4 linked regions of the Lepisosteus oculatus genome follow. The protein of the gene in region 1 purifies or fractionates together with the protein of each later gene. This does not show direct contact. Links are inferred from orthologs where the notes say so. Each region holds a gene or a part of one and is shown on either strand. Other genes may lie near its edges. The genes, in order: snw1, ccnt1, eef1a1a and snrpb2.

Evidence for each region.
Region 2: the proteins of snw1 (region 1) and ccnt1 purify together in Homo sapiens (affinity purification with western blotting; 3 studies listed by BioGRID and IntAct, with this or other methods). This does not show direct contact. The link is inferred for Lepisosteus oculatus from reciprocal best matches to the Homo sapiens genes SNW1 and CCNT1.
Region 3: the proteins of snw1 (region 1) and eef1a1a purify together in Homo sapiens (affinity purification with mass spectrometry; 3 studies listed by BioGRID and IntAct, with this or other methods). This does not show direct contact. The link is inferred for Lepisosteus oculatus from reciprocal best matches to the Homo sapiens genes SNW1 and EEF1A1.
Region 4: the proteins of snw1 (region 1) and snrpb2 purify together in Homo sapiens (affinity purification with mass spectrometry; 3 studies listed by BioGRID and IntAct, with this or other methods). This does not show direct contact. The link is inferred for Lepisosteus oculatus from reciprocal best matches to the Homo sapiens genes SNW1 and SNRPB2.

The regions. Positions count from the first base shown.
Region 1 is NC_090703.1:2,093,339-2,101,258, forward strand, and holds the start of snw1 (SNW domain-containing protein 1), read right to left. Parts: upstream 3,019-7,920; 5' UTR 2,944-3,018; coding exon 2,930-2,943; intron 2,032-2,929; coding exon 1,878-2,031; intron 1,080-1,877; coding exon 918-1,079; intron 608-917; coding exon 512-607; intron 252-511; coding exon 145-251; intron 1-144. Other genes in the region: adck1 (aarF domain-containing protein kinase 1), read left to right, coding at 4,941-5,072, 6,654-6,737. UniProt on the Homo sapiens protein: Involved in pre-mRNA splicing as component of the spliceosome. As a component of the minor spliceosome, involved in the splicing of U12-type introns in pre-mRNAs.
Region 2 is NC_090696.1:14,602,520-14,609,674, reverse strand, and holds the start of ccnt1 (cyclin-T1), read right to left. Parts: upstream 3,004-7,155; 5' UTR 2,926-3,003; coding exon 2,756-2,925; intron 1-2,755. UniProt on the Homo sapiens protein: Regulatory subunit of the cyclin-dependent kinase pair (CDK9/cyclin-T1) complex, also called positive transcription elongation factor B (P-TEFb), which facilitates the transition from abortive to productive elongation by phosphorylating the CTD (C-terminal domain) of the large subunit of RNA polymerase II (RNA Pol II).
Region 3 is NC_090712.1:11,006,675-11,014,660, reverse strand, and holds the start of eef1a1a (elongation factor 1-alpha 1a), read right to left. Parts: upstream 3,002-7,986; 5' UTR 2,916-3,001; intron 1,341-2,915; 5' UTR 1,309-1,340; coding exon 1,165-1,308; intron 918-1,164; coding exon 738-917; intron 641-737; coding exon 344-640; intron 238-343; coding exon 87-237; intron 1-86. Other genes in the region: slc17a5 (sialin), read right to left, coding at 5,137-5,274, 5,585-5,675, 6,234-6,381, 7,100-7,232, 7,542-7,703. UniProt on the Homo sapiens protein: Translation elongation factor that catalyzes the GTP-dependent binding of aminoacyl-tRNA (aa-tRNA) to the A-site of ribosomes during the elongation phase of protein synthesis.
Region 4 is NC_090712.1:8,264,208-8,272,145, reverse strand, and holds the start of snrpb2 (U2 small nuclear ribonucleoprotein B''), read right to left. Parts: upstream 3,019-7,938; 5' UTR 2,920-3,018; intron 2,589-2,919; 5' UTR 2,568-2,588; coding exon 2,504-2,567; intron 1,930-2,503; coding exon 1,757-1,929; intron 1,048-1,756; coding exon 913-1,047; intron 366-912; coding exon 324-365; intron 13-323; coding exon 1-12. Other genes in the region: kif16ba (kinesin-like protein KIF16B), read left to right, coding at 7,476-7,522. UniProt on the Homo sapiens protein: Involved in pre-mRNA splicing as component of the spliceosome. Associated with sn-RNP U2, where it contributes to the binding of stem loop IV of U2 snRNA.

The sequences.
Region 1 (7,920 bases):
AGGGGTTCCCAGGCCTTGTCCCAGAAAGCCATAAACACGCTGGTTTTGTTCCAGCTGAGCTGAGTTTGATTTCAAATTGATATTAGGTCAATTAAGGGATCAATTCTGTAACAGAGACCAGGAAGTACCAGTGACTCCTCTCACCTGATGTACTGTGCAGGGGCTTGCTTATCGGCTGCCCGCACAGGCATGGCTGCCGCGATCTTCTGCGATACCTGCTTGTCCAAGGCAGACCTGGTCTTCTCTGTCAGCTGCATCAAAACAATTGTTTTCCCTTCAGTTTGAAGACACTATTTCAAAATGGGCTCCAAGGTAAAATGTGGATGGACTGATAAGTGGTAATATTCATATCAAAGTCCAAAGCCTCAGGTCCAGGGAATAAAAGCTGTCTTTATTGAGAACATGTTAATTTATCACTGACCATGAAACAAAAGCAAGCGGGAAGAATTAGGAGTCAGCAATCAAAGTGCTTCTTCTTCCCAGTGCAGTTTAATCTGGACAAAATACGCACCTCTCTAACCGCTTCTTCATCAGGCCTCTGCAGGTCTGGGTCATCTTCATTCATAACTTCCTTAGGAAGCAAATCCGTGAACTTGCTGTATATCACCTAAAAGCAATTAAAAACAAGAACATTCTGGTTGCCAGTGCTGCACATTTAAGAAGAACATGCTTAAAACATCATTTGCGCTAATCTACCAATGTAAACAAGGCATCTCTGGCAAGCAGATGAGTAGTTGCATCACTCTACGTTATAAAGAATACATTTAGGGTATAACGACTGAATTTGCAATCGTTTTTCTTGCTTAACAGTTCCTTTAGGACTTTAAAAACAGAAGTTAACCAAAACCGGCGGGTTTATCTCCCTGTGCAGCCAGGATGTTTGTGATGCTGCGACATTTGAAAACACGGTACCATACCTTATCCTTGCCCTGCCCTTGCCTTGCAATGGCATCATATTTGACCTTTCCCTCCGCATCCACCTGCAGCGCCAGAGCATTCGAGGTCTTCTTCTTCCTGCCCATTTCCAGTGGGTACTGGGCCACATGGATCTCAGGGAAAGCACCGCCATCTCCAAAATCCTGGGAATGAGTTCAAAAACAGTATGTGTATTAGTGGGTCTGTGTTAGTCCCCTGAAGCTACTGATGAGGTCACCTTGGAAAGTTTGGAAATCAATACTCACCTGCTGATCCACACAGTGGATAAGATATTAAATCTAAGTCTGACAATTTGGTTATTAAAAAGTGGTGTTAACACTGTGTCTCAGATAAGCCATCTCTCAGCACGCCACTTGCTGATGTGCTGTGCAATGGGGCGGAAAGCAATAGATAAGTATAAGGAATAATGTACAGTATTGTAGGGAAAGTCTCAATACCCAGGGCAGCATGGGACTTTTAACATCATATCATGCTTAAAGGGTTTTCCGTCAATTCAGAGGAAAAAAACACAAAAGAAATAGTTTGGAAACAAATGCGAGTTATAATTGTATTCAATGCCCGGTTTCAGTATTGTACTTTTAGTCTTAAAAAAAGAAAATAGCAAGCACGCTCAACACTAGTACTCAAAATTGTGAGACAAGCTCTGTGGATTTCTTCGGAAGCCACAATGAAACGTTAACCACGAGACACAAGCAGAAACGGCAGGGGAGTGCATTTAAAACTGAGAAGGAGAAGCATGTCTTTACTCAATGAGTGGTGGGAGTGTGAAACAAGCCACTCGCTATATGTTGATATCCATACCCTGGCAGGGAGATGCTAGGTACGGACCAACTAGCACATACCTACTGGACCGGCTGAACGGCAAGCTCATGAATCACACAGGTTAAGCAGATGCAGACATTTAGCAAGGCAGGCAGCCCGAGTAGCTGCAGCAGAATTACCTCCAGCGTCCTGGGAATCCAGCCTTTCCGGTAGCCGTACGGCGGCGGCTCTCTGCGGGAGGACACCAGCGCGGTGGACGGGGGCCTCTGAGAGCGGTGCCCATCCTCCGCCTCCAGCTGGTCCTGGGTCAGCTGTGTCGGGGCCGGTAAAAAGCTGCAACCCAAAACACATTCCCCGATCAGCGCTCCCACTAACAACCAGTGCACCAAGCAAAAAAACAAACAGGGGCTTGAGGTGTTTTAAAGATGAACTGAGAGTAACTGTAATCTCCACAAACTGCGGTTACACACTAAAGGACAAAGGATAAAGCGTCCCATTGTGAGACTTTTTATTACAGACGACCACTTCACAACAAGTGGGCGGAGCAATGATTCTGTGGCTCGGGATCAGCGCCTGTGGCTGGAAGGTTGCTGGTTCAAATCCTGCGGCCGGCAGAGGAATCCTACTCCGCTGGGCCCCTGATTAAGGCCCTTAACCCCAACTGCTCCAGGGTCTGACCCTGCGCTCTGACCCCCAGCTTCTCTCCCTGTCTGTGTGTCTCATGGAGAGCAAGCTGGGGTGTGCGAAAAGACAAATACCTAATGCAAGAAACTGTATTTGGCCAATAAAGTGATCTCATCTCTCCTCAGCACGGAACACTGCTGACCCCTCACTTCAAACTCACACCATACAGCTGTAAACCGATCCGGCTCAAGAAACCGAGGCGCAGCCAGACAGCGAGAGCCGGCAGTTCAAACAGCTAAACACCGTGGAGTCAGCCAATGATAGGGATTCCTACATATAATCACATACGTTGAGAATAACATTCGAAAAGGTACTGAATAAACCTCTCTCTCCCGGAGGCCAGGAGATAAATAAGGCCCGCAGGACGGGCCCGGAACTGCGCAGAGCGACCCGAGCGGGAACGGAGGCATAAATCACTTTATTGCTTTCGCATATTACCAGAAAGGAATTGCAAACAAACGTGTTAGTATTCTTGATCGCGAGATACTGTCGTACACACAATAATCGCCGTTTAGTCCCAAAACAAGCTCTGTCGTACACAGCTCACCTCGCCAGCGACATCTTGTTTCCCCGGAATGTGGCGTTTGACGTCACCACGCGCTTCCTTGCGTCACGTCGCAGGCTTAACCTCCGGCAGTTGTACAGTTTCCACTAATTACACAACCTTGTGATTCAGTAGCGGACAAGACGCGCTTGCAAATACGCGTAGAATGCCTGTCATATTTAACATTACTAAAAATAAATCAGTCCCGTTGGTGAATATCGATTCAGAGTAATCTTTTGAATAAAAAAATAAAACGAGACTGCCCCGATCATCAACTACATTGTCCAGGGTGCCTTGCGCAGAGCAGGTCGAGAATAATTGAGGTCGGGAGTTGAGAGGTCGTCTGGACCGGTAAGTGAATGGGAATTTACTTGCACAAATGTGCATAATAAACGTAAGCAAGTGTTGTATGTGTGCACTTTGTGCGTATTTCATAACAAGACAAAATGATTTGCTTTTTGGTGCATTTATTTTGTAGCGTCTTTTGTATTTGTACATATCGTTAGTGTTACAAAACCTTCAACTTACATAATGTCAATGGCATGGCACTGCACTGCACTGCTCATGAAATGCAGTACAACTCCGATACCTTTCTTAAACATCCTTAATGAAAAGCCTTGTTGCTGCTGTAATGTTACAGGTTGTTTCTGAACGTTTAGTTCATGTATGATGTCGTGTGTCTTCACCACTGGCGACATGAACTGCCATCCACACAGTGTGACTGTAGCCATCAGTACTGAAAGCAACACACAAATGACAACAATGGGAAAACGATTCGTGATATACGAAGACCAATTACCATAATTAAATATGATGATGGTCAGTATTATTTGTTTAGCGACTTAGTAAAGTGCTGCGCTCACTGCTGAATAGTACTACTTGCAGGAGGTTCTCTGAAATGCCTTTCTGATTCGTAACGTTAAACTCAAGGCAAGGTCCCTTTCTCTGAAACTCTACATGTATTGTAACCTTTTTCTGTTGTGTATTATGTTGGTCAGTAAGAGTATTTCCAATGTTAGTGTTCAGAATTTGTGTTATAATGCCATAAATGTTACTGCTTGCTCATGCATGGGCAGAGACGGGTGCTGTTCCCATACAACAATACAACACCCTGATGCAGAGACACAATCTTTGCTAATTCTCCCTCCAACTGCTCAAGCATGTGAAAGCAGTGCTCAGGGACCCTCTACTTCCTTCCTTCATCATCCTACACGGGAAGTATGCTCTGCAGGCAGGTAAAAGACTCAGTGCACCTTTGATAGGACGTGAACTAACAAATAAGAAACATGCATAAGATGAAAAAACACCACAAAAGCTATGGTCGAATTTCTTTGACTGATTATATTTTTTTTATTTTATCTTAATATTACTGAATATGCTGATAAAGAGTGGAAGATCATAGCAAAAAAAGAGAAAATGAAGTACGTAGAGCAGCACACAGTCCTTGCAGCTGCGTGTCAGAGGCTGTCTGCAGAGACGGGGAGTGGTATATCACTGAAATATTGCACGAGGTAATCCGGGCTGATTGCAGGCCTGAACTGGATGCAGCCAAGCCTGTTTCAGTACAGTATGATAAATGAAGAATGAGCCAGGGCTGCAGAGCGCTTTTTTCAGATGTAAAGGCCACTCATCTTTAGTGGCTTGTGAGGAATGGCCCTGCAGGCTCATGACAAAGCAGACCAAGGTGTCACAGCCCTCAGTACCGACACACTCCCACCTGTCCTGTTGCCTTACTCATTGCAACACCCTCATCCATGCATCATCATGCTTAAATGTGTTTTAACCCGTGGAGTAATACTACTTTTTAATATACAATGGGTCTTGACAGAAGCAGCTTCTGGGAGTAAGATTGTTCAGGGTGAAGTAACTGCCGGTAAATGAAGCAGCTGATTGTGTCAGAAATGTGTATGTTCATCATCGCAGCCCCGTTTGTACTGGAGCTTCGCAGCTGGCGTGGGCAGTGCTGTGGGAGAACAGAGCGTGTGCTTCCTCCTCTCCACATTGCAGTGCCCTCATGGCTGGACGGCTGCTGAAGGTCTCCTCGCTGGCCACGGCCCTGTTGGCCTCTTCGGGGTTCTGCTGGTATCACAGGCCTGTGGATCTCAATGACATCAGCTTCATCCGGTTCGGAAGAGCTGCGGTCACGGTAGGTTCCTGTCGACTTTCATCTATTGCACCAAAAATAGCAAGGTGGGCCAGGCGGCTTCTTCTTCCTCGTGTTTGTAACCTGTGGTGCGTCCTTGATACATAAGAAACAAATATGAAGAAGAGGAGGCTAAATTACTATGGCCCATCTATGGCCCAGCATCTATGCTATTGGCCCATCTGAACTTCAGTAATGAAGATGGTGTGTGTTTATTCACGCGGGATCTGTCATTCCCAGCATAAGTGCCGTACCTTGCAAGTCTGGACCAAATAACACCCAGCTGCGAGTTAACAGATGAGCTGCCCTTTGCTACTTTATGAGAAACATTTGGCAAAGCAACTCCACTGTTTTTTTTATCACCAAAACTCTTTGGGAAACTGTTGGTAGGGTAGTGCTGAATGCTAACCTTTGTAGAGGAGGACACCCAGCCTGTGGGAGCTGTTATGATTTAATTTAGCTCATGTGTGCTGGATTAAATACAATTGATAGTAGTAGCTGTGCCATGAGAGGGTTTCTAGATTGAAGACAGGTGGCTTGTTTAGAAATAACACAGCTCAGACATTTGCCAGTTGTCCAGGAGTGGATATGTACATTGAAAATGGCCAATAAGCCTGTGATTACTTAAGTGGCTTGTGGACAGTCCCAGAGAGTTCCCACTGTTCTGTTCCTCCTTGAAGAAAGAGAGCGTCTGGGACTCGGAGGGCAGGAGATGGAGGAAAAGGCAGACCACCCACAGTCAGCACAGAGCAGCCGATAGAGGGCAGCTGGGCTCAGGTTGTCAAAGGACGTACAGCCCATCCTGACACTCCCACCCAACAACTCGTCATCACCAGACACTCTGGCAGTGGACTTGGAAGTACAGGGTCAAGATTGGACACCTCTGAGTAGCAGAAAACATGATCACAGATACTGGAGTCCACTGCACAGCTGTTATAAAGCCTTCAGTCTGTGACAGAGCCACCAGAAATGCATAGAATATGGCAGTGGTGGCTGTTGGAGGCGCTGTTATCAGACAAACTGCAAGTGAAACGAGACATGTGGATCCCGGGTCAGTAAGAGTGAGCCACAATGCCTGCCATTCTCCAGACTGCTGATGGGGCTGACTGGTGCCTAGCAAAGGCAGGAGAGGAGCCAGTTCTTGTTTGTCCATGTTGGGAGAAATGACACTGGCATGAACAGCACACTTCGCACACCAAACACATTCAGAGTTACTCAGAGAGAAACGCAGGCTCTAGTTAGGTTCAACCTTTCTAGCTTCTACATTTTCATGTGGAACTGTCGTAGGACAGTTTCCAATCTGCTTTTTCTTGTAAGGACAGTCGTCATGGAGGCTGGTATGCTAAGAAGAGACAGTAATGTGGGATTTACTATACAGTGCGTTAGGAGTGTAGTATAGTCTGAAGCTATTTCCTACTAAGAATTTGGTTATTGTTTTTTTTTTACATAAAGATAACCAAAAGGATGACTTGACATTAATTCCGCATGTGCTGCCTCTTTAACCTACTGTTCATTGTAGAAAGTGTTTATCCAATATCTACAGAAGCACTGTTAGGTTAATATCCCTGTACCTTTCCATTGTAGACCGCAGTTATCAGTTACGACTACTTCACATCTCTCCGAAGATTTGAATATGGGACCGAGGAATACAGCGCTGCCAAGTCAGAGGTAAGTAAGATTTCACAAGAGCTCTTACTGTGTGATATGCATTTTGTTCATTTTAATGACATTTTGTTGATAAAATTCAAAGATAACTTTTATTTAGGATAGAATTTTTGTAGAGAACCGATTTGAAATTTCAGATTTCATATCCTTCTTAGATCCAGCCATCACCCTGCAATTCATAACTGGGAGCCCACTGAAGCCCAGCAGGTGTGAGCCTGGTCAGTACCTGGATGGGAGACCTCCTGGGAAAAACTAAGGTTGCTGCTAGAAGAGGTGTTAGTGGGGCCAGCAGGGGGTGCTCACCCTGCAGTCTGTGTGGGTCCTAATGCCCCAGTTTAGTGACGGGGACACTATACTGTAAACAGGCGCCGTCCTTCGGATGAGACGTAAAACCGACTCCTGACTCTCTGTGGTCATTAAAAATCCCATGGAGTTTCTTGAAAAAGAGTATGGTGTAACCCCGGCGTCCTGGCCAAATTTCCCATTGGCCCATATTAATCGTGGCCTCCTAATAATCCCCCTCTATGAATTGGTTTCATCACTCTGGTCTCCTCCTCACTAATAGCTGATGTGTGGTGAGCATTCTGGTGCACTATGGCTGCCGCCGCATCATCCAGGTGGGGTTACACATTGGTGGTGGTGGAGGGGATTCCCCATTACCTGTAAAGCGCTTTGAGTGGAGTGTCCAGAAAAGCACTATATAAGTGTAAGCAATTATTAATTAAAATTATTATTATTATTCTTAGGCGGAGGGTGGAGCACCGGGGTGCTCTGCTTGTAGTGTTGCAGTTACTTGGTCCGCTTGCCTTCTTAGAATCATAGTCATCCTATTAAAAAAAAAAACTCATTTTAATCCTCTTTTTTAAGGCTCAAAATCCCAGATCGGAGTACAGAACTAAACAGCTTTTAACGTTATTTGAGCACTTTACTCTTAATTTCTTGTTTGATTGGAAGAACTTGAAGCTTGCTGCATGTGCGCTAGATTTTAAGAGGTGTTTTTTTAAGGTAACAGTTATTTAAAAAGCACACCCATATCTTACTGATTTCAAATTTGAGATTTTTTGTTCTGATTGGAGATTGCGGTTTCATGAACACGCTGGTATTTTTCTCACCTGTGGCGAGAGTGACTAAGTCTGAGACGTCAGCCCACTTTAGGCGGCTTAAGGGAACTGTATTAGTGGGGGAG
Region 2 (7,155 bases), on another chromosome or scaffold:
GGGACTTTTTATCTCATCACACAAGACTTAAACTGCCCATCACCTTCTAAACAATTTCATAATGAACCAAGTCATTAAGAATTAAATCCAAAAACTCTGCAAACTCCCCAACTCTATATGGACCTACTAGAAATTGATGTCTGGGGGCAGGGGTTCCCTGCATTATTCCCATGTTCAGATTTTCTTAAGAGGCTCCTGGGAGATGCGACCAGGATTTTAACTGGGAAACCTGACATTTTTACCAACAACATAAAACAGCAATCTAAACTACAAAAGTTGGTCAAACACTGAAGAACAGGCATCAGAAGATCACAACAGACAAGGATGGTTTAAGTCATTTAACTGCATTTTTCTGGCAAAACACTGCTGGTTTGGCTGAACCCCTTTATTATTTATAATGGTGATCAACACTTAACAGCCAAGCAAGCAGTTTACACCCTGCAGCAGATCCATCTTAATGCAAAACCAAAAAATGAAATTAAATTTTAACTCCAATTTAAGTAAAAAGTGACAGATCAGACCCTAAATCAAGAGCAGGGGTGAGAATGACCCCAGGCACTGCCTACCATACATGAACTGTAATTTGGAGTCAAATCCAGTGAATTAACTAAAGACACAGGTAGAGAACATGTGTACCTACAGCTCCACAGACATCTTCAGAGTTTCAGAAATATGAACATAGTTTAAAACTAATCTGAACTACTTATTGCAAACATGGCTGCTTGCAATAGCTCTAGCAATGATACCACTGAGAAAACCACTAACAACCAATATCCATTACACTTCACAAAAGAGCAAATGACTGTTGAACACAGTTGGTATTAACACTGTATTTTACAATTAAGGTCATTATTAATAGCTATTAATAAACACACGTTAATTACCAACAGAAATTCCACAATGCAAAACTAACAGATCCACACTGCCTTCACATATTTTACTTTGGGGTACTGTTAATATGCCACAGATGGTTGAGCTGACATTCTCCTATTGATCTAACAGTACAGTCTCAGCAGTCACTTCACATGACATGTCTTTAATACCTAGAACCCTACTAACCACCAAACACAGTACTTGCATTACAATTCACAGCCAAGCATAATTCACCTCATGGAAGCATACATTCTAGAGAGTAAAGCAGTATTCATTTTCAAAAACAAAATATAGCTACAGACAACTACGAGCGTACAGCAGGTGAAGTCACAAGATGCTTATAAACTGATTTACAATTAACAGCCATTTCTGTTAAAAAACATAGGTTTATCCCCCAACATGAATATTTTTGTCACAAAGTTATTCTGAAGATTGAGGTTTCTAAAGCACCCTGGCATGTTTATGTTTTGCACAAATCACATATGATCTAAGGCCACATTTTGTATAACAATCAAACCTTTCTTTCTCTCCATAATACTTTGTAATATTGTAATATCAAGTATGGAAAATATACGTGCATAGAACCCATCTAATATGATAGCCTGCTGTACGGATACCTCATAGTTAACACCTAGAAAATCTCCTTCCTTTACCTAGCCCTACTTTTTAGAAAGATTATAGTATGGGTACAATAATCCCTGTCCACCCATGACAGGTGAGGGCCTGAGACAGAATCTAACCTTAAAATACATGTAGCATAATTACAATCAAATACCTCTTGCAGCCACTGAGTGCAATTAATTTACTTTACCAAACCCTCAGGACGACTATATTGACAAATACTCCTAACATCAAGCACACAGTAGCTATAATAAAATACTGTTAAAAAGTGATTTAATCACCTTTTGTACCATTCACAGTATTTTTTTAACTGCAGGAAAATAAGGGAACTGGAATTAATTTTCCCATTCTGTGAGGACCTTCAATACCAATCTGTCTTGTAATCCACATTCAAGCCAAGTATCACAGTTAAGTGTATTTAATGCAATATGATGACTACAGAATTCGTCTAAAAGAACGACTCAAGAATACTTGATAAAAATGTTTATTATGTGGAGACGCCGAACTCGAATGCGCCACTGGACTTTATTAATTTCTCAATTATTTACAGTTTTTTTTTTACAGTTATAAACAGGATTCTAACAGTGTAACCATTTTAACCAGGGCTTATATTGACAAACATGAGGCACCAAGACGTGAAATGTATTTCCCTAAACAACCGCTACTTCATGGCTCCAGTAAATATCGCAAACGTCTTTGTATGTGCTATCACAAGGGGACTGTACAGTACATTTCGACTTCCTTAAACATTATAAGCATGAAAACCTCGAAAACGTGTTGTTTTATATGCTGTGAGAACAATGCTGTTCGCTTGGAGACACGCTGACCAGTTAGCGGCAGCGGTGAATTTCTCGCTCCAACAATGAAATAACAGATAAACGTCATTTCTACTAATCGATTCTTAAAACTCCAACCAGATATGATATTTGCAGGGATTAACCCGTCCTCCGGTTGTAAGAGGCCGCCTAAGTCGCCGGAAACACCGGCGCCGGCTTTTGTTATCCAAAACTCCTAGGCCGATGCCGAGGCCTACACTGCTCGGGCCTTAGCAACCAGCGAGAACCCGGCAGGACACCGACTCCACAGTACATGTCGACACGACACCTCTTTCTCTTTTACAAACCTCGCTCTGGACCAGCGTTAATACATTGACACTGCCAAGCCATTCGGAAAACCCAAGCTGAGCCGCCGTATCCATGCCGCCTCACCGGCTTCGCCGTGCTGCGACTCAAGCGCTCCGAGCGCCCCAGTGAAAAGATACACATTAAGCCGCTGCCCCATGTCCTGAAGGAGGTTTGCGGCCTGCTGACGGTACGACAGTTCTTTGTCTGGGTCAAGCCCCATACGGCGAGACGGACTATTTTCGATCTGCTCCCGGGTGAAATACCATTTGCTATTCGGTGAGGAACAAGAAGGAAACGAAGCCGCCATTACTGAGAGGGACAATATAAAAAAAAATACGGCGTCACCGGAAGCTTGCTTGTACGAACGCCACGCTCAGTGCCTTTGATGGAGGCCTCCATTGAACGTCACTTCCGCATCCGGCAATACCTAATGATGTCACCGTCTGGTGTTGTTTTGACCGGCTTTTTGGCTTCGGCTTTTCTTTTCTGGTGTGGTACTGTACCGTAGAAAATCAGAACGGCCACAGTAAGAATAGGCCATGCGGCCTCTTTAGTTGTATTTGCCTATAGCCCCATAGCCAGTACTGGTTGTACTGTAAACACCCCCTCAAATCTGAAATTCTTAGAGTCGTTCAAGTAGGCAGCTGCGTCAGCATGTGCAGGCTGTTAAAGAACAAGTAAAGGTTTATTCCATGCTGAAAAGAAGAGAAACACAACGTTTCGGCTTTGGAGACTTCAATTTTTTCCTCTTTTCAGTAAAGAATAAACCTTTACTTGTTCCTTTACAATTTAGAGTCACCAATTGGTCCTTTGGGAGGTGGGCAAAAAAATGGAAATTATTAAGAGGCTGTGAATTCTGGTTCATGTTCCAGATTGGCTTTGATTGTTTAATTACCTCATAAAAATAATATTACTCCTAACCATGCTCCAAAGTGTGTGGTAACTGTGTGGAAAGAAAGTTTTGAGTTAATAAGTGTAAAAGTCTTATATATATGTCTACCTACTGCTGGAAAATATTTAGATTATTTGGATAATTGACTCCTCAAATAAGCTATTGACATAAAGAGACAAGGAAAACCTATCTAACCACAAGAGCTGGGGTCAGTCTCTAAATAAATCTACATACCTTTCAATAAATTAATTTCTGGCTTTCATGATTAACACTAATTTGGCTTGTTACAAAACTTTATTCCTATCATCTACACAAGAAAAACTTCCACAGTCTACTTTTTGAAACAGCATCAGGCATTATACATCAAAAAATGTATAGCAGGCAGGTTCAGATTGAATAATAATAACAATTGCTTACACTTACATAGAACTTTTCTGGACACTCCACTCAAAGCGCTTTACAGGTAATGGGGACTCCCCTCCACCGCCACCAGTGTGCAGCCCCATCTGGATGATGCAACAGCAGCCATAGTGCACCAGTACCTCACTACACACCAGCTATTAGGAGGCCATGATTGATAAGGGCCAATGGGAAATTTGACCAGGACACTGGAGTAACACTCTTTTAGAGAAACACCCTCTGATTTTTAATGACCACAGAGAGTCAGGACCTCAGTTTTTATGCCTCATCTGAAGGACGGCACCTTTTTACAGTATAGTGTCCCCGTCACTATACTGGGGTATTAGGACCCACATAGACTGCAGGGTGAGCGCCCCCTACAGGTCCTACTGGTCCCACTAACACCTCTTCCAGCAGCAACCTTAGTTTTTCCCAGGAGGTCTCCCATCCAGGTACTGGCCAGGCTCACACCTGCTGGGCTTCAGTGAAGTGTGGTTGAGGAAGACTGTCTGTAGCCACAGCAGGTGGGGGCTTTGTGTGACCCACACGGTTGGGCACAGGTGTAGGACAGTCTCTGAGGCCTCACACCCCTGCAGTTCTGGATCGTGTGCGTACCACGCAGAAAACGGAGTCCCTGAACGCGTGAGGATGCTGGGCATGAGCTCCAGGGTGGTGTGCGATACAAACTATGGTGCTATGGTGCAGCCCCGTTAATGACAACAGTTTTCTTTATTTGTAGGAAATCGGTTATTTGTAGGTTAACCATCTGAGCTACTCACCCAAGACGGCATTGCGAATGGGAAACAATGATACGTAATTTAATTTCCAACCAGCAGGTGGCAGCAAAATGCCATCTTTTATTTTATTTTTCCTAACGCGTCCGGAAAAAGCCGAGAAACGATGGCAATGGTGACGCGAATTCACTTGCCGGCGAGGTACATATAAAGTTGTTTTTAATATTAGCTCCAAAATGCGTTTCTGGTGCACCGATCCATGCGGAATGTGTTTTGTAAATGGCTCTAACTTGGTCCAGCCCCCATTCCCTAACTGAGCCTCTGTCACTCACACCCAGCTCCCTTCTCCATACTGCTGCTATGATATACTGCATAAACGTGACCTGCTGTAATTTTAACACAGCCAACATTAAATGAGCTACACATTTTGAGATCTGTTAAAATTTCCTTTGGCACCAGACAGTTTTCAAGCCTGCACAGACACTGGATTAGTGTGGATACAGGGTAACAGATTATTCTGGTGCACCTGGTGTATTGGTGCATTGGTGCATACTGGTTCTGGTGCATTCTGGTGTTTTCATTGTAGTTCATGTCTGTCCACCAGCAGCTGTATCACCCTGCAGCTCACCACTGGCAGCCCACTAAAGCTCAGCAGGGTGTGAGCCGGGTCAGTACCTGGATGGGAGACCTCCTGGGAGGATGTTTCATTGACCTCCTGGGAAAAACTAAGGTTGCTGCTGCAAGAGGTATTAGTGGGGCCAGCAGGGGGCGCTCACCCTGCGGTCTGTGTGGGTCCTAATGCCCCCAGTATAGTGATGGGTCATTATACTGTTGCAACGCTCCATGGAAAGCAAAGGGCATGACAAGGGACAGGAAGGCGTCATGGCCATCCACTGCAACCAAGGAAGTCTCCAGTCATGACGGCCGCTCGCACCACTGGACCCAGGCTTCTGAGGCCGAGAGAGTGGGACTGCCCCAGTGCAACGGCTTTCCCACCTCAAAAAGCTCTCCTGCACAGGTTTCTTTGTGCAGCTCATCTTCCAAATAGGTGAGCTGCACAAAGTACAACCGTCATCATCGAACACGATAGACAACCATCATGTCTATCCTGGTCTTTTCTGCAGCACCCAGCCCCGGTGCAGCAACACATGAGCGGACCCTCCCAGAGGACTGCTCCTGCAGGGATGACTCATGGCAGCGAGTGTCATGTCTGCTGGTGTCGTGGAAGGAGACTGGGAAATAATGCAGGTTTCCAGTCAGACTCTCCACTGATGAACTGTTGTTGCCTGATGTGATCAGAGGTCAGGATTCAGCTGTACCTCAGACTGAAACAGAGGTTTACAATCAAGTTGAAGTAAAGCACTGCAGCTTTTCCTGGTGGGTACATTATTAGGAGCTGGCCAAGGTGCTAGACAAGTCAGAAGCTGGAACTCACAGACAAACGGCTGATCATTGGAGCTCACACATCATACTCACCAGATCAGCAGAGCTCACACAACAGCACACCTGATAGATCAGCAGAGATCACACAACAGCACACCTGATAGATCAGCAGAGATCACACAACAGCACACCTGGCAGATCAGCAGAGCTCACACAACAGCACACCTGGCAGATCAGTAGGGCTCACACAACAGCACACCTGATAGATCAGCAGAGCTCACACAACAGCACACCTGATAGATCAGCAGAGCTCACACAACAGCACACCTGGCAGATCATTGGATCTTGCACAACAGCACCAACAGCAGATCACTGGAGCTCACACAGCTGCACACCTGGCAGGTCAGCGGAGCTCACACAGCTGCACACACAGCAGATCATTGGAGCTCACACTGCATCATCCTTGACATAGAAACACTGGTGGTGCTACATGGACACAGTCAGGCTGGATGCTATGTTTAGTGAACCACTGGCAGGGAGGTCTAGTTCAGCCCTGTTGGCTGCACTTGGAGTCTTTCCAGTGAGTCACTCTGGAAAGTGAGGGAGCCACTAAGGACTGAGAGAATCTAAGTCTTGAATGTGTGGATTTGACTTGTGTATTTACATTTACAGGTGTTTTTTAACTTTCCCAAGCTGCATAACTGCCGGGGATGGAGGGCAATTAGTTCCAAAGCACATGTTCGTGACACATTTGTAAGTGTAAAAACTTAGTAGAAGTGTAATTTTGTTCCTGGGCAAATGTCTGGTTCCTTGCTGTTCTCCTTCTTCTCAAGAAACTCCATCTCCTTGTAGGAAATACAGGTGCAGTTGCATTTTAATGAAGACATGATCTAGCTACTGTTTTGTCTTCCATAGATTAAAGAAATGTTTTGTTTTCAGAACCAGGAATGTATGTATTTTTTCACTTTTCCAGGCTATTCCTTTACAACTGGAAATATATCTCTTAATTTTAAAGATTTTATTTTTTTTCTTGGTTTGTAAAGCACTTTGAGCTTCTATTTGTATGAAAGGTGCTCTATAAATAAAGTTGTTTTATTTTTATTATTATTATTATTATTGAGAAATAAAG
Region 3 (7,986 bases), on another chromosome or scaffold:
AAGGCCGGAGAGCACGTGGGTTAAGGAACGGACTGCTACTCTGTCCCTTTGACACCTTGCTTTACACAGAAACCAACAGTTCTCACCTCCAATTTTGTAGACGTCCTGTAAAGGCAACCGCAGGGGCTTATCAGTTGGGCGTGTGGGAGGCTGGATGGCGTCCAGGGCTTCTAGAAGAGTAGTGCCTGAAGCATTGCCATCTTTACGGGTGATCTTCCAGCCTTTGAACCATGTCATCTTTAAGTGAAAAGAAAGAGGTGCTCAAAAATCACAAAGGGTATTCCAAGCAATGTGTCCTAAGATGGGCTACACCAGACAGCCAAGTAAGCTCCATCTGACTTACATTAGGGCTCGATTCCAGCATGTTGTCTCCATTCCACCCAGAGATGGGCACAAAAGCCACAGTGTCGGGGTTGTAACCTATCTTCTTGATGTAAGTGCTGACTTCCTTGACAATTTCTTCGTACCTCTTCTGGCTGTATGGCGGCTCAGTGGAATCCATCTTGTTAATGCCAACAATCAGCTGTTTGACACCCAGGGTGTAGGCCAGCAGGGCGTGCTCGCGGGTCTGGCCGTTCTTTGAAATACCAGCTTCGAACTCCCCAACCCCCGCCGCAACAATGAGGACAGCGCAGTCTGCCTGTAAAAGCGAGGTGGCGACAAAGAGAGGTGATCTGAGCTGTTGTTGTTGTCTGGTCACTTGTCATGGCGGTTACTGATAATACAGTTGTACAAACCTGCGATGTACCGGTGATCATGTTCTTAATGAAGTCCCTATGCCCGGGGGCATCAATGATGGTCACGTAGTACTTGCTGGTCTCAAACTTCCACAGGGAGATGTCGATGGTGATGCCCCGCTCACGCTCAGCCTTCAGCTTGTCCAACACCCAAGCGTACTTGAATGAGCCTTTGCCCATCTACAAACCAATTAGCATACGATAAGCTATTTAAACCAGGCATGTAACAAGTGCTTCAGCAACACCATGCGGCACTATTAAAAATACAACCTAGTTTATTGGCACAAGGTTACCTGGGCTTAATATCACTTCACCTGCCTGATAAAGTACAGTAATCCCATGGTCTGCAAGTTCAGAATAAAGCCTACCATACCAGACTTTCTAATTTTTAAAACTGTTGGAAGGTGTTCTTAAACCGTGAACATACCTCAGCAGCTTCCTTCTCAAACTTCTCAATGGTTCTCTTGTCGATGCCACCACACTTGTAAATGAGATGGCCAGTGGTGGTCGACTTGCCAGAGTCCACATGGCCAATCACTACAATGTTGATGTGAGTCTTTTCCTTTCCCATTGTGAATTTTTGATGATACTAAACAATAGAATCTACAACACAAGATTTACATAAGGTTACACATTTGAACACAAAATATCCCACAACTATACACAGACCATAACCACAGCAGCTTTAACAGGTGTCATGAATACTATGGACATGTATAGTATGGTGTATACTATAGTGTAATACTATGGACATGTATAGTATAGGGGTGGCTCTGTGGCTAAGGATCTGCGTCTGTGGCCAGAAGGTTGCTGGTTCAAATCCCACAGCTGGCAGAAGAATCCTACTCTGTTGGGCTCCTGAACAAGGCCCTTAACCCCAACTACTCCAGGGGTGCTGTACAATGGCTGACCCTGTGCTCTGACCCCAAACTTCTCTCCCTGTCTGTGTCTCATGGAGAGCAAGCTGGGGTTTGTGAAAAGATGAATTCCTAATACAAGAAAATGTACAGGGCTAATAAAGTGATGTTATGTTAATTGTACTGTATGCCAGCATTAATATCTTACTTGTAACCACAGTCTCTGGCATCTGAGCATTTTCTGAACAGCAAATACTACTCAAGTTCAGCAGCCAAGTCCTTGGCACAAGATTGCATCAGGCTGCTCCACCCAGACAGCTGCTTTGCGTTTCTCCGGAGATGGGCAGTTATTCGTCATTTCTATTTCGCACTCCACGGATTTCTATTTGTGTACAAGGTGGATGAGCACTGTGCATATGTCAATGTTCCCTCCATTTTGTAGGAAATCTCCAGTGCCTTGACAAAGCAGCCATTATAGACGTATACTGTACATGCTCACATTACACAACAGAGGGATAAGGCAGACATGCTCATCTTACACCAACACAATAAAAAAAAAAACAAATTAGGATATTCATTCCTGTAACTGGGAATAATCGAGTATTGGTGTCGCCTCTATTAAGAATTAAGAAAACATTTAAATCGGTAACAAAACATCAGTTTGTATGATAGATTTCTCAAATGCTTCCAACAGCCAGATCCTGCTGAATAGGCAACTGACAAACGTCTGCCTGGATTATATTTATGTATTTCAATGTGGTATTTATTTTAAAATCTGCAACCTCGTTTTAAAACGTAGCTGTCCCCCTCGAGCCTATTTATTTAAATATTAATGCAATATATAATGTCTTTAGGCATAATCGGTTTATTATATTAAAAACGGGCAAATGCAATTAAAAAAACACCTTGTGTGAAATTCTAATCTGATGCTCTGAACCACTACAAAAAAATCAAATATCAGCCATAACGATACGGAACGGCTTAAGCCAATGAAACATTAGGAAGCTGCAAATTTAGGTTATAAACTGCTGTGAAGGGCGACAGTCCCATAATTGAGATGTCTGAAGATTACTCCTCCCCCCCATCGCCGCCATATTCTCCCCTCATTCAATGCTCAAAGGCTGTTATTCATTAGCGCAATGTGTGTTTCTAACTTAATAACCATTTCAGAAATCCAGACGTTTTTAACACATGCATCGCAATCGTGAATACACCGTGTAGCTGGCTCATTTCCAGCGCAGCATGCCACCCAGCGCCAAAGAAAAGACGAGGCTTTCCCAGTAAACAAAGATGCTGCAATTATCATTCCAGAATGTCCTACCTGCCTCCAGCTTCTGCGTGCTCGTTGCGGAAAAGAGCGAGCGCCGCCGCTGATCCGTTTATATTTCTGTCGGGAGGGGGTACAGCAATTGTCGTCAGGACTGACATTTCTAATACCCCCTCTTAGCCAGGACAGAGCATCTTCAGGGACGGTGAGAAAACATTTAAGAGTAGCGTTACTGTAATCGTTAGGAGGGCAAACATCATCGTTAAAAAAAAAGACTACCACCGCTCTTTTTTTATTAATTCGCGGTTCTGTTGCTAGGATGCTAATAGGGATGTTAAGCAGGTGGATGCAGAGTAGGTTTGAGGATATCTTTAGTGAAAGTGCAGTTTAACTTGTGAGTAGTCCCCTTGCTAGGTGTGTCTCTAGTGTTCGTCTAGTCTCCTTAATTTCATGGTACGCAAAAAAATACAAGCCATGGTGTTTAACAAGCGCTGATTGATTTCGTTATGACAAACTTTCATTTATACATGCAGTTCAGGAACTTTTTTTTAAAGTTCAATATTGACCAGGAAATATTGTGTACAGAATGAAAAGTTTTCACAGCAGGTGCCATAAAATTTATATGATTTTTATGATAAATTCATACAGTTCGCTAAGCACTCTGCGTTTTGGTGAGAACACAACACTTTTATTAAATAGTACAACTAAACCACACATAAAAATAATAGAATAGAAAGAGTTTTACATTTTAAAGTGATCAATTCCAAGAATCCTTTTTCTGGTGATGAAGAGATACTCACACATGTACATTGGTTTTAACATTTGTCACAAAATAAAATACACCAGTAATTTGTATTTAATGATACAAATTATTATAGTCGTAACAAAGTTTTTTTTTATTTCCCTTGCAACTTAATATCATGTTAAACTGATTTACTCCTTTCAGCACTGTACACGTTCCTGAACAAATAAAGTGCTTTTATTTATTTGTGATTAAAGTTAAGAGTATTAATATTTGTACAAAAAGGATGCCTCAATGTGATATACTTCACATTCCCATTACATACTAAAAGCTTATTCACAGAAGTACAGAAAGGTCTTTAGAATTCACTACAATAACATTTCTTAACCTACTGTACTAAAAACATTATAATTTAAAAATATTTAGGAAAAAAGGGGCTAAGCTATGCCACTTCTTTTTTTAAATGTCAGCTTTTTTAAGTAGAGCAAAACTTCATAAAGTTTGACTTTTTGTTGCTGTTAAAGCAGTAACGTATCACCTTATCACAACAAATAACAGCTGTAACTTTTACGAAATTGAAATAAAAAAGGAAACAATGTGTAGAATTAAAAAAACAAACAAAATCAAGCCAAACATCTGGTTTGAAAAATAAACCACTTTTTTAGTTATAGTGTCATTGCTTCTCTGCTGACAAATTACCTTCATACAGCTACTGTAGCTAATTAATATTTCTAAATAATGCATTTTATAGTGTTCATTTGTCCTATTTCTATCTTGCATTTAGGAATATGGGTCATATTCCAATTTCCCTGACAAGCACATGAGTGTGAAAAGAAATCTCGTCTGCAGACATCAAATCTGACTGGCATTAATATTCCAAATATTCAAGAATCATGCTTTCAGATATGTTACACTGAATAAAGGCACTGAATAAAATTTCTAAATACTTGACAGTACTTAAAATCCAAATATCAACAAATAGGAAACTGTAACTCACTAGTTCCCCACTTTACTACGTTAACCATGTTTTAAAAAAAAACCTTGGGATTTTGCTATAAAACACAAATAGTATAAAACCCAAGGAAATGGCAATTGTGCAATTTCACTAGAATAAACAATACTTTCTTCAAAGAACAAATTTTGCTCAGGAAACCTACACTTGATGATAAACTGCCACTGGCAGTCAATATTAATCTTCTTCTGCCCCCTCAAGAAACTAGTCTGAATTAAACATACATAATTAATAAAAATAATGTCAAAGATGTACACAAATCAAACAATAACATGCCATTCAGTATCTTTAGTTTTAGTTGATGCACAAAGGTGGCTTGATTTTTGTCAGCAAATGTTTGAAAATCTAACAATTATGTCTCACTAAATTTGGTGCAAGGACAAAATCCTGAGTAACATGTTTAAACAAGATTAGACGACAATGAAATAATTTGGCGATGTTGAGCAGAACAGAAAAAAGCATATCACATTGGTCAGCGCGGTCTCCTGATTTCGGTAGAAAGTGATTCGTTTTCCGAGAGCTTAGCTGCCATGTGAGTGAAAATCTGGAACTGCCCAACCCTGGACCACTCCTTTACCAAAACAGGTGAAAAATACTGCACCAAACACATTGATAGCAGCAGCGATGTAGAAGACAGTCTGCCATTCTGGAATAGTGTTCTGCAATAAAGTACAAAACAATGTCTTACTGTACTGTATATCAGCATTCACAGAAGCAAAGATTATTGTGAAAGCATAACTTTTAGATTAAAAAATCTCTTCTCTTTTAGCCAGTTTCCATCTGTCACTTTTCATTGCAATGTGTTTACTGAATGCTTTATATAAACATTGGAAATAATTAATAGAAAGTAGAAATATTATTTCGAGTGTTGCCACATAATCTTAAATAATTAAACTAAAATAGTTCTGTAAAGGCTTGTTACTGTTAAAAGAGAAAGAAAATACTTCTATGCCAATTCATGAGACTTACAGAATGTGTAAGGGCTCTGCCTATAACTGGTCCAACCATTCCAGGGATAGTGGCAAATGTATTGGTAATTCCAAGTAATATCCCAGCATAACTAATAAGACAAAAACAGATAAAATGTTTTTACAAGGAAATCGCGACTATATACTATACAACGCTGAGAAAATGTAATAATTCAAATGTATCACTTCTTTGTGTGATACATTTATATACAAAATTCATGAAAGTCTTAAATAAAGATATTGAATTATTAGTACTAATAATTTAGAACTAAAAAACACAAGAATACAGACCAGCCTAGAGGGTTCACAAACTTTTTCTCAGCACTGTGCAATACTTCAATTTATGTAGCATTAAGACTTTTAGGGAGTTCATTTTCTTTGAGGACATGTGCATCATGTGTCAACATCCACAAGTAAAATTAATAATCAAATTTATAAACAACTTCAAAAACACATACATTTTCTATATTTCTGTGTTAAATAAGAGAAGGAAAAATATATACATTTTAAATATTTTAATAAATGAGTATTACCCTAGATTAAAGAGCAAATGAACAGATAGAAACCATAAGCAGCAGAGGTTAACTGAAGGTTTTTTCAATAAGAAATTCTTTTCGTTGAAGAAGAATGAGTGTGGAAAATTTGCTTACGATGGCGCAATATCCAGGTGATTTATACTAAAGCCTGATGCAGAGATCCCACCCAAGGCAGAGGAGATTGTCAGAAAAGTCACAGCCAGGATATAATTACAGCCTGTATACCCTGCACACACCAGAAATACAGCTGGTCCAATCATTCCTAAAGAAAAAAAATATGCTTGGTGAATGGTTTCTTTATTAAGATCTCATGTCAGTGATCCTTAAATTTAGGAGAAGCAAATTACTTAATTCGACCGACCAAGGAACACTTTAAATGCCCAGTTATTAGCACAACATTGTTACCCATCTTAAAAGCTCAATCATTTTGTTAATTAATTGTAATAATTGTTTACATTCTTCTCATGTACATATGTTATCAATTCACTGTTAATAGCATGCATTTATCAAGGGTCACTCAAAACCCCCGAAGCAATACCTACAGTATATAACAGCTTCAGTCCACTGTAAGTAAGCCACAAAGTGCACCAACTTCAAAAAGGCCTAGATCAAGTCACTAGCTGAATGTGACCTAGACTCCCAACACACTGTTCACCGGGAATGACAACAGCCAATTAATAGGCATATTAAATGGTTTATTGAGAATTTGAAGTTATGGTTATTTGGCTTGGTTGAAGGTTAACCTTCTGGCCAATTTGAGCCAAATTATAGCAACCAGCATTTCCAAATTGGGCAAGAAGGTTAAATTGGCAACTCTAAAATAATTAATGGTAAAAACATCTGCTATATACTGTAAGTATCTGAAGCATCTTCATATCACACACACAGCAATGCTGATAGCAAGTTGTATTTATCAGGGTGAACAGGCTTTGGAAATCACAGGAGCTCTCCAAGAACAACGATATTTCTGTGCAACTAACCGATCAATGAGAAACACTTGCGCACTCTTACAGTAGAAACCATCCATGTTTCTCTCAAGTAATCTGCAAGCTGACCACCTAGAAGTGCCAATATCCAACAGCCCAAATATGGCAAAGCAGACAAGAATCCATTCTGTATGGGAAAAAATTGTGTTAATTACATATTGACATTCAGCAAAAAATAAATTAATAATATTTGTACTATAGATTATAAATAAAAACCAAGCATTTGTTTACAATTAACATGCTGACACTATAAAAAATGTTTAATCATTAAGGATTTATCAATCAAATCTTCAAAGTGTACAATTTATAATTAACAAAAAGCCCTAGTTCTACTGGAATTATCTAATGAAATAACAGCAATAAATTTATAGAGATAACAGATGTTATTTTTAGACAAAGATAAAAAAAACCCAGGCTTGTTTCAAAAAGTCCTAACCTCTTGAATGTTGAATCCTAGAACGTTTTTCATGTAGGTGGGTAGTAAGGTCAGCAGAGTGTAGAAAGTCCAGTTGTAGGAAAAATGAGCTACAACAATGGCCCACAGTGGCACAGACGTCAATAATGACCTCCAGGGAATGTGTTTAGTTGAGGGAGACAGCTGAGAAGGGAAAACAACACAAAATACGATATGACTCATGAATAAAACTGCTAGGAAATACTAATTTAACACTGTGGGCAACAACAGAGGATCACATAAAGGTTAATTTCACGCTGAAAAGTAGAAAGAATAAACGACAGCAAGGTATTTAATTTCGAACAGGCTACGTTCAACCAAATGAAAGTTTTCAGAACACTGACCAGACAGTTAATTAGTAAATGGGATAGGAGAGAATAACTTTAACGTGTTTTGCAGGATTAATCTTGCTGCGGATTTAGAATAT
Region 4 (7,938 bases), on another chromosome or scaffold:
ATTGTCAGGTGTCTAGAAAAAAGGAAAAATAACATTATAGCAATAAGTACAGAAGTATTATTGTGCTACTGCAAATATTGGACATGAATTTCACACTTTCAACATCTTTTTATTCCTGCAAGTTAACCTTTTACGTTTCTTTGATGTTCTATATTTTTAGTATTTCTTTCTTGAAATGTTGAATACAAACAAGTTAAAAATATGGACTTTATCAGATCTGCATTCATACTCACATATATGAATATAGAATAATATATAGAATAACTATTTCATTATAGTTATAGATAATTTCATAAATAAATCCCCCGTCATCTGGCACATACCTGTTGAGTCTGGGGGGCATTTGAAGGTGTATTCGTAGATGCCTGTTTCGCAGAAAGTAAAGAAAAAGAATCAATGAAAAACATTCATCCAGAAAAATACCTAACATTCATACTGTGGTTTGTGCTTTTAGTAATAAAAAACACTGCTTACCTAGATATTATTAATTATACCTATGTACAGTACCGTATAGTAACCACTTCATTTGATTTTTGTGTAATTACACACATAATCACAGTTTTCATTTTCTTAATGCCTTTGGGGTCCATTATAATGTCAAAACAGCCAATTTTCTTGCACGAAAAACAAGAGCTCACACAATACTGAACAGCATAGAAAGCAAGATGTAATGAAGTGCATCACACACGTCTCTCCTACCACTCCATAGGCTCTGTTAGTTAGTGGAATGTGATGCAAGCAGTCTACATGAGATGAGTGGCGCTGTATGCACCTTCCTCTTCACTCTATAGCTAGTATCGCTATTTGATGCTTTGTGGTATTGAAATTTCATAAAAAGAACATTAGTTAAAAGAAGCATGGGTGTGGTTTTGATATATTGGGGTTATGTTTAATGAAGCAAAACTTATTTACCGGGGCTGGTTTCTTGGTTGCATTTGCTGCCTGCTCCTGAACTTTCTTCTTCTTTTCCTTCTTCTTGTCCTTGTCGCCAAATGTGCCTCGCATTTTAGAAATAACATCAGAATCTGTCTTGGCATACTGAATGCGCTGTGTAGGTAAAACAGGAAAGAAATTGCGTATAAATACTCTTGTGTAAAAGTCTTGAAATATATTATACTGTTGTGTTGTTTTCAATGCTATTCCTTCTAAATGCAGAAACAGTTCTGTAGTAATGAAATACAGAAATTTTGAACATTTTAAGAGAAGAGTTAGGCCTGAGAGATCTGCATTTTGCTCTACAAAAAGAAGCCATTTAGTTTTATTATGTAAATTGTGAGCAAAACCTGACAATAATAGAGTTTAGATTTTATAGATTTTATTATTGTGCATGTGATGGAATACGTTACTCCAACATTTCATGTACTGCTCATGTAAGCTTTCCCATGCTAAGCTTTATTAATGACTATCAAGGTGGTCTGAACAGTAGAAACGTCTTGCGGTGTCAATGATGCCGAACATGACATATATTGTTACAGCCAATTAGATCCAGGATCTCTAAGGCTTTTGCACGAGTATAAAAAAATGCAATTTTAATATAAAAGGCCCAAAAGCTGTTCCTGTTTTTCTTTTTAATGTAGAAAAACCTTGTAAGAATTGGATTTATTCCTTATTGAAGAGCCTTCCTAAAAAATATGCATCGTTACATGAAATAATCATACATGGCAACTTGTTTTCTAGACAAGTCAAATACAAGGTATGTATTTTTGTAAATGTCAAAACAGCTCAAGTGCACTTAAAACTCAGATGTGTAACTAACCATTGGCTTATTATAAAACGGAAATCCTTGCAGTTGTCGAAGAGCATTGGTAGCAGAGCCCAGTTCTTTGAAGACAACAAATGCTTGTCCTCTCATCTTCATTGTCTTCAAAGCCACAATATCAATTATCTGTCCAAACTGAGAAAACAGTGCATATAGCGACCTCTTTAGCTCTACGGAGAAATAAAAAAAAATTAGTGCATTCAAAACCACTAAGTATTAAGTCAGGAAGAAATGATAGAAACTGCACAGGAACACTATTCAGATCTAATGAGTTTAAAAATCAATGCCTGCTAGTACTGGGACTGTGCTTTATTTCTGAACATGTTGAAATATTAATCAGATCATACTAAATTACTGTCAATCTAAATATAGCAGTAAATGACATGCAAACTGTGACACTCCCACCCCCAACCCAGCGGTCAACATAGTTCAAATGAATTAAGTTAAAATACTGTTTGGACACAGCCTTGTAGCTTCCTGTTTAACTCGGTGGCTCCCACAAGAGGCCAAACGCCCATACAATTTAAATTAATTTAGTTAAAATCTGACTGTACGCGGCCCTACAGCCTCCTATTAAACAATATTACCATACAGTCACACTATTTTGACACAACTGGTACATGATTTCTCTTTCGGTTTTACCCTATATACATTCAAATTTATTGGGTACGGTTACAAATAGGCAACGTTTATCCGAACAACAGACTTCCTGAATCATAAATGACGATATTCGTAAATACTTACCTTCTTTTTTGATTTTGTCATTTACATTATTAATATAAATGGTGTGGTTGGGTCTAATATCCATGATGGCACTGCAACGTTATAACTACAAGAAGAAAAGAGATTTACATATAAACTGTTCTAATCTAATTTTTAAAAAACCTCGGTGGCTAAAGAAAGTGAAACATTGTTCTTGTTAGATCGAGTATTTACATGAATTTGTATTTATGTAAGAGTTAATTAAAAACAATTAAAAATCATCTTTGCTCAGAAGCTAGAAGAAACAAGTACGTGATTTACAAAACAAGACTAAAGTCAACAGAACATATTAGTATTTCTAATTATAAAGAGAGATGTTCCACTTTTAAACTGCATTTCATTAAAACATAAAATAAAATTAATAGAAACAACACAATATTAAAACACAGCAAACTCACGCCGCTCTTCTTCAAAACGCTACCGGAAACAAACTACCATCACACTTCCTGTGTGCAACACTGTGTAAAACAACAAGAACACTTCGCTTTGAATATTTAGTTCCTACATACTTCTTGCTCCCTCTAGCGGCACAGACTGCATACCGTATCTGTACGTAATAATTACATACAGTATAAAATACGTTAATTTTGTGAAACCAATTTGTATTGGGTTAATTAAACTATCGAATCCACTATTAAAAATACACGTTTAAAGCTACACATTTAAAAGTGTGAGAAATATTACATTCCCGGTGAAGAGAAAATATCTCCTTGACAAAAAAGACTTGAGCACGCTTTTGTTGTGATTTTTTTTGGCGTTTTTTACATGTGGGGTACACATTAACTGAATGTGAAAACACGCATCATACAGCTATTGTCCATGACCTGTGTTAGCTAGAAAACAGTTTTAATCAAACAGGTCTCGATATAGATTCTGTGCACCGAAAACATACCGTATTGTATTGCTTGTCAAGACGCAGCTTGTGAAATCTTACGGTGGTTTACTGATCTGAGATTCCTGCCTGATTTTATTTTCAAATAATTCCTGTAACTTTGTTCAGTGTTCAATGGGAATTCTTTGTCTTATTTGTGACACAACAAAGAGACATCTGAATGCAGTTAATTTAATGCTTTTAAAATACCTCATTGATTTGTTCTCCTATTAAATGCAAACCACATGTGATACAATATGCTATATAATCAGGCGCCATGGGTGTGTTTTTACTCAGCCCTGAGGAAGACGGGAGGAGGGCCTACATGTTAGCAGGGATACAATACATGCAGACAACAGCAGTTTTAAACATGGCTTCAGGACTGCTAGTGTACCCACCCGGGAACCCTGCCATGGTGAAATCGTTTTGTGGAGATTCAGGCATCTACTATGCAAGGGAATGACAGTTAGGCTGGGGCTATTACTCACCATTGTTGGAGTAATTCTTACAATCTTGCAGCACCCCAGTGTGAAACATGCACGTTCAGTAAGGGGCACATCTCCAACTCCACTACCCACTCTTGTATTTTTAGTGTAACTAAACCCATTATAAAAAGCTCTTGCCAGTTCAAAGGAAAATCAGGCTGCTCCTGTAAGTGATGTTGGCTTAAAAGAAGAACCTCTTTTCTCATACCAGAATTTTCAATCCAATGCAGCAGAATACAAATGGTCCTACACTGCTGTAGGAGGTTCATCCTTCAAAGGGCCTATTAAACCAATGTGTCCCAACTACTTGGGAATTAAAAGTCAAATGGTACTGTTTGTAAGAGTAGTGAGTTTATCGAGGGCAGCATAGTGGTGCAGTGGTTCATTGCTACGTCACAGTACTGGAGCCCTGGGTTCAATTCCCAGATTGCTGTCTGCGTGGAGTTTGTATGTTATCCCTGTATTTATGCGTGTTTCCTCTAGAGTCCAGAGACATACCAGATTAATTGGCTATGGTGTGAATGTGTCTGTGGATGTTTCGGCCCTGCCAAACATCCATCCCTCCTTACACCTGTTGCTTGCTGGAATAGGCTCTGGATCCCCCACGACCCAGTATTCGATAAAGTGGTTAGAAAATGGGTGGATAGAATGTTAACGGCATTCTCCTGGCTAAATTTAATTTCGAACTTACATTATCTGTCTTACCTAATGTTCCCCTCTAATTAAATCGTCGAGAAAATTTCTCAGTTCTCTACTTTATCTGCTGTATGGTGGAGCTCCTGGTGCATAAATTTACTTCTCTGTGTCACCCAGGTTGGTGCAGCACATCAGTAATGTGTGAAATGCATTCTTTCATGTGCAATGAGCTTTTGTGATACTTAGGCATAAAAGTGTTACATAAATCCAATGAAATTATATTGCATTCTGATGTATGGCTTTTTGAGCCTTTGTTTTTTGTAATAAGCTTACTTAGTCACGCCTGCAGGACACGTGTAATTGGTTTGCAAAGGAGTTTGTGTCAGACTGTTTTACAAAATACCACTGATTCACTTGGCACATGCAGCAGCTTGTGGAGGGCTCTCTAAGGGTTGGCATATTTGCGTGCGACTCATTTAAATCTGGATCTTATTTATTTTTTCTTAGAGATTGGAGATCCTTGGAGTGAAAGATATTAAAGGAAGCAAATAACACAATTCAATATACTGGCAAGGTGTTTTGCCAAACGCTTCTGTTTCCATTGAGACTGGTCGCTTACAGGAGGCAGATTGAGCGTTCTGGATATCCTTCCAAACATTAAATGAATGATTCACTCGTGCTGAGGTTTGAGGGTCCGGACTTCATAAATAAAACCATTGCTCTTTGTTTGCTGGATATCAACAGCTTAGTGAAAAAGAATATCTACTCATAAAAGAAAAAGCCTGCTGACAAAATAAATTGTGTGGAAGAAAGATGGTCCAGGCAATTTGGAGTGATATAAATGCACCAAAATGTACCTGGCTCATTTTTCAAAATCACTGTGTTGGTCCCATGTTACAGAAAAGTACATTGAATGATGACAATTTAAAAGAAATGACAAAAAACACAACTTTGAAATGTCCTTTAAAATGTACAGTATTATTATTGTATTCTGTGTTTTCTTTTAAAGCATGTTCAAGCTTGTTTGTAATTATTTTATTGCCATTTTAGTTTTGTTCAATGCTTTAGAATGTTTTTTAAAATGTTATACAAATAATCTAGTTCAGCTAAATGTTTAATCAGTTTTTCTGTTATAACATCTAAATAATGGTGTTCACTGTAGAAAATAATAAATAATAATTCATTTTTCTACCATGATTTCCAAAAGCATGGGGAAAGTTAAAGAGGAAAAATAAATTGTGTCCCTTAATTTTATTTATTCTGAAGTTGAATATATGATCATCGAGTCATAAAACATCAAATGGTTTTTAGTACCCTTCTAACACTATCAGGTTGATTTTCAAAGTACAAATGTTCCAGAAAGGGTTTATTCCCTGCTAAAATGAAAAGAGACATAACGTTTCTGCTATGGGACCTTTTTTAAGCATGAGGGAGAGAGGGAAATCAGTTGCTAAAGATGGGAGAACAAAAGACTGAGATGAGGGGAGGAGCTGATTTTCTGAAAATCCAAAGCAAAGACTCAAATTCAGAGGTGCCAAACCTGTGAAATATTAGTTTTTCTTTTTTAGCTTCAATATCATTAGGAAGATATTTTCTCCATATACCATTGATTCTTTCTCATTTATTTTACCTATCAGTTGAGAACAAATTCTTATTTAACAATTGGGATTTCAAGACCTATTTATACAAACAGGGATTTAACTGGAGCTTTTACTGAAGTACAGTATAGTTCTTTACTCAAGGGAATGCTCAAGTAGCAGCGTACTTCAGCTATTACATAGTGCTTAATATTTAATGTTACATTTAATATATACTAAATGACTTGCACCACTATACTGCACTATCAAAGCAACACATTTAATTTTTGAATGATTCATTTTTGACTTAATATACTAAACAATGTGAGCTTTCATAGCAATTAGAGTGTGCTGTATTAACCAGTTTAAACTATTACAGTCAGAATTAAAAAGGTAAAATTGTAAGAGAGATCATACAGTATGTGAATGAGAATATAATATGTATAAGACATTAAAGCAGTGATTTCCAGCTTTGGTCCTAGAGAGTACAATTTCGGTTTGTCCATTTTTTTTAAAATATAAAACATCTGAAAGTTATTGATAAATTACACGTTGTCTTTACAATTAAGGGAACTATGTCTTTGAGGACAGAATGGTACCCAGATTCTGATCCCAGATGATCTTTAAATTACTCAATTTACAAATCGAGACTCTACAAATGTTAAACTCATGTTCCTTCTCTTAGTATTGTATCTAAAAAACCCATAGGAACACTAAGAGAAAACAAAACTCAACTTTGACAAGGACACAAAATGAAAATCAGAAAACGAATTTCGGTTAAACTGTAGAAAATCAGGTAGACAATTGTTTTCTAAAATCATAATTCGCCCACTGCAATACATATTTGAAAAGAGGTCACGGAGGCAATTTAAAATTAATCGTTTGATGAGAATCGTTATTACTGGTTTCAATCCACAAGAATCTCTCGATTATTCAAATAATACCCTATTTTAAACACACATAATTTCCTGTTAGCCTGTGGCTGAGCAGGCCTACAAACTCCCACGCCCGCTGCGTTGCGGTCGTACACTGAGTCATGAGGGTTTTGCTTTGATTTCCCCGATGCCTTTTTCCAAACGCGTTCTTCGTTTAAGAGTATTTTGTCCTTTACAGCATCCCTCCTGGAGTTCATGCTTTGTCAGCTGACAGCGGTAGCGGAGTTTGAGAGTTTTTCCTTGGAAAGATATCCTGTATTTACTTCTGCTGCGGTGGCACCGGTGCAGTGAAAGTCAACAGTTCACACCGTTCAGAAATTCACACTGACATACGCAAAAAAATATGTTTTTTCCCCCCTTGCGTTTGTCCAAAAGTAAGAAACCTAAATAATAAGACTGCGGTTGAGCTGGTAACAGGTGCGAATCACAACAGAGCCACAGGAATGAACGATGGCATCAGTGAGAGTGGCTGTCAGAGTCAGGCCGATGAATCGGCGGTAAGTGTCTAACTACAAAAATATTTTCTTCGCATTTAAGTTTTGAATGCAAAGTCTTTCTTTAAAAATGTCTTCTTACCTGCTTTAGCGTCTCCTCTTGTAATATTAAAGAATTTAAGTCGCAGCAGCGTTATTCACCGTGTATTCTTTGCATGCAACGCGCTACATTGTTTTTATTCGGTACCTTGTATACATTTACACGAAGTGTTTCGAAAGTGTAGAACAAACTATCCACCCATGTTGTTTGAAGCTGACAACGTGGTATCTTTCAACTAAGCAACAAAAATGCAAAACATGTCGAAGGTTTGAATAACTGCTTCTCGTTTAGTAAATGTTTTATATAGCGTCTTTGCAACACATCTTCCTATCTGTTCCTCAAATATTCCCCGATCGGGAAACAGACTGGGGATTTGACA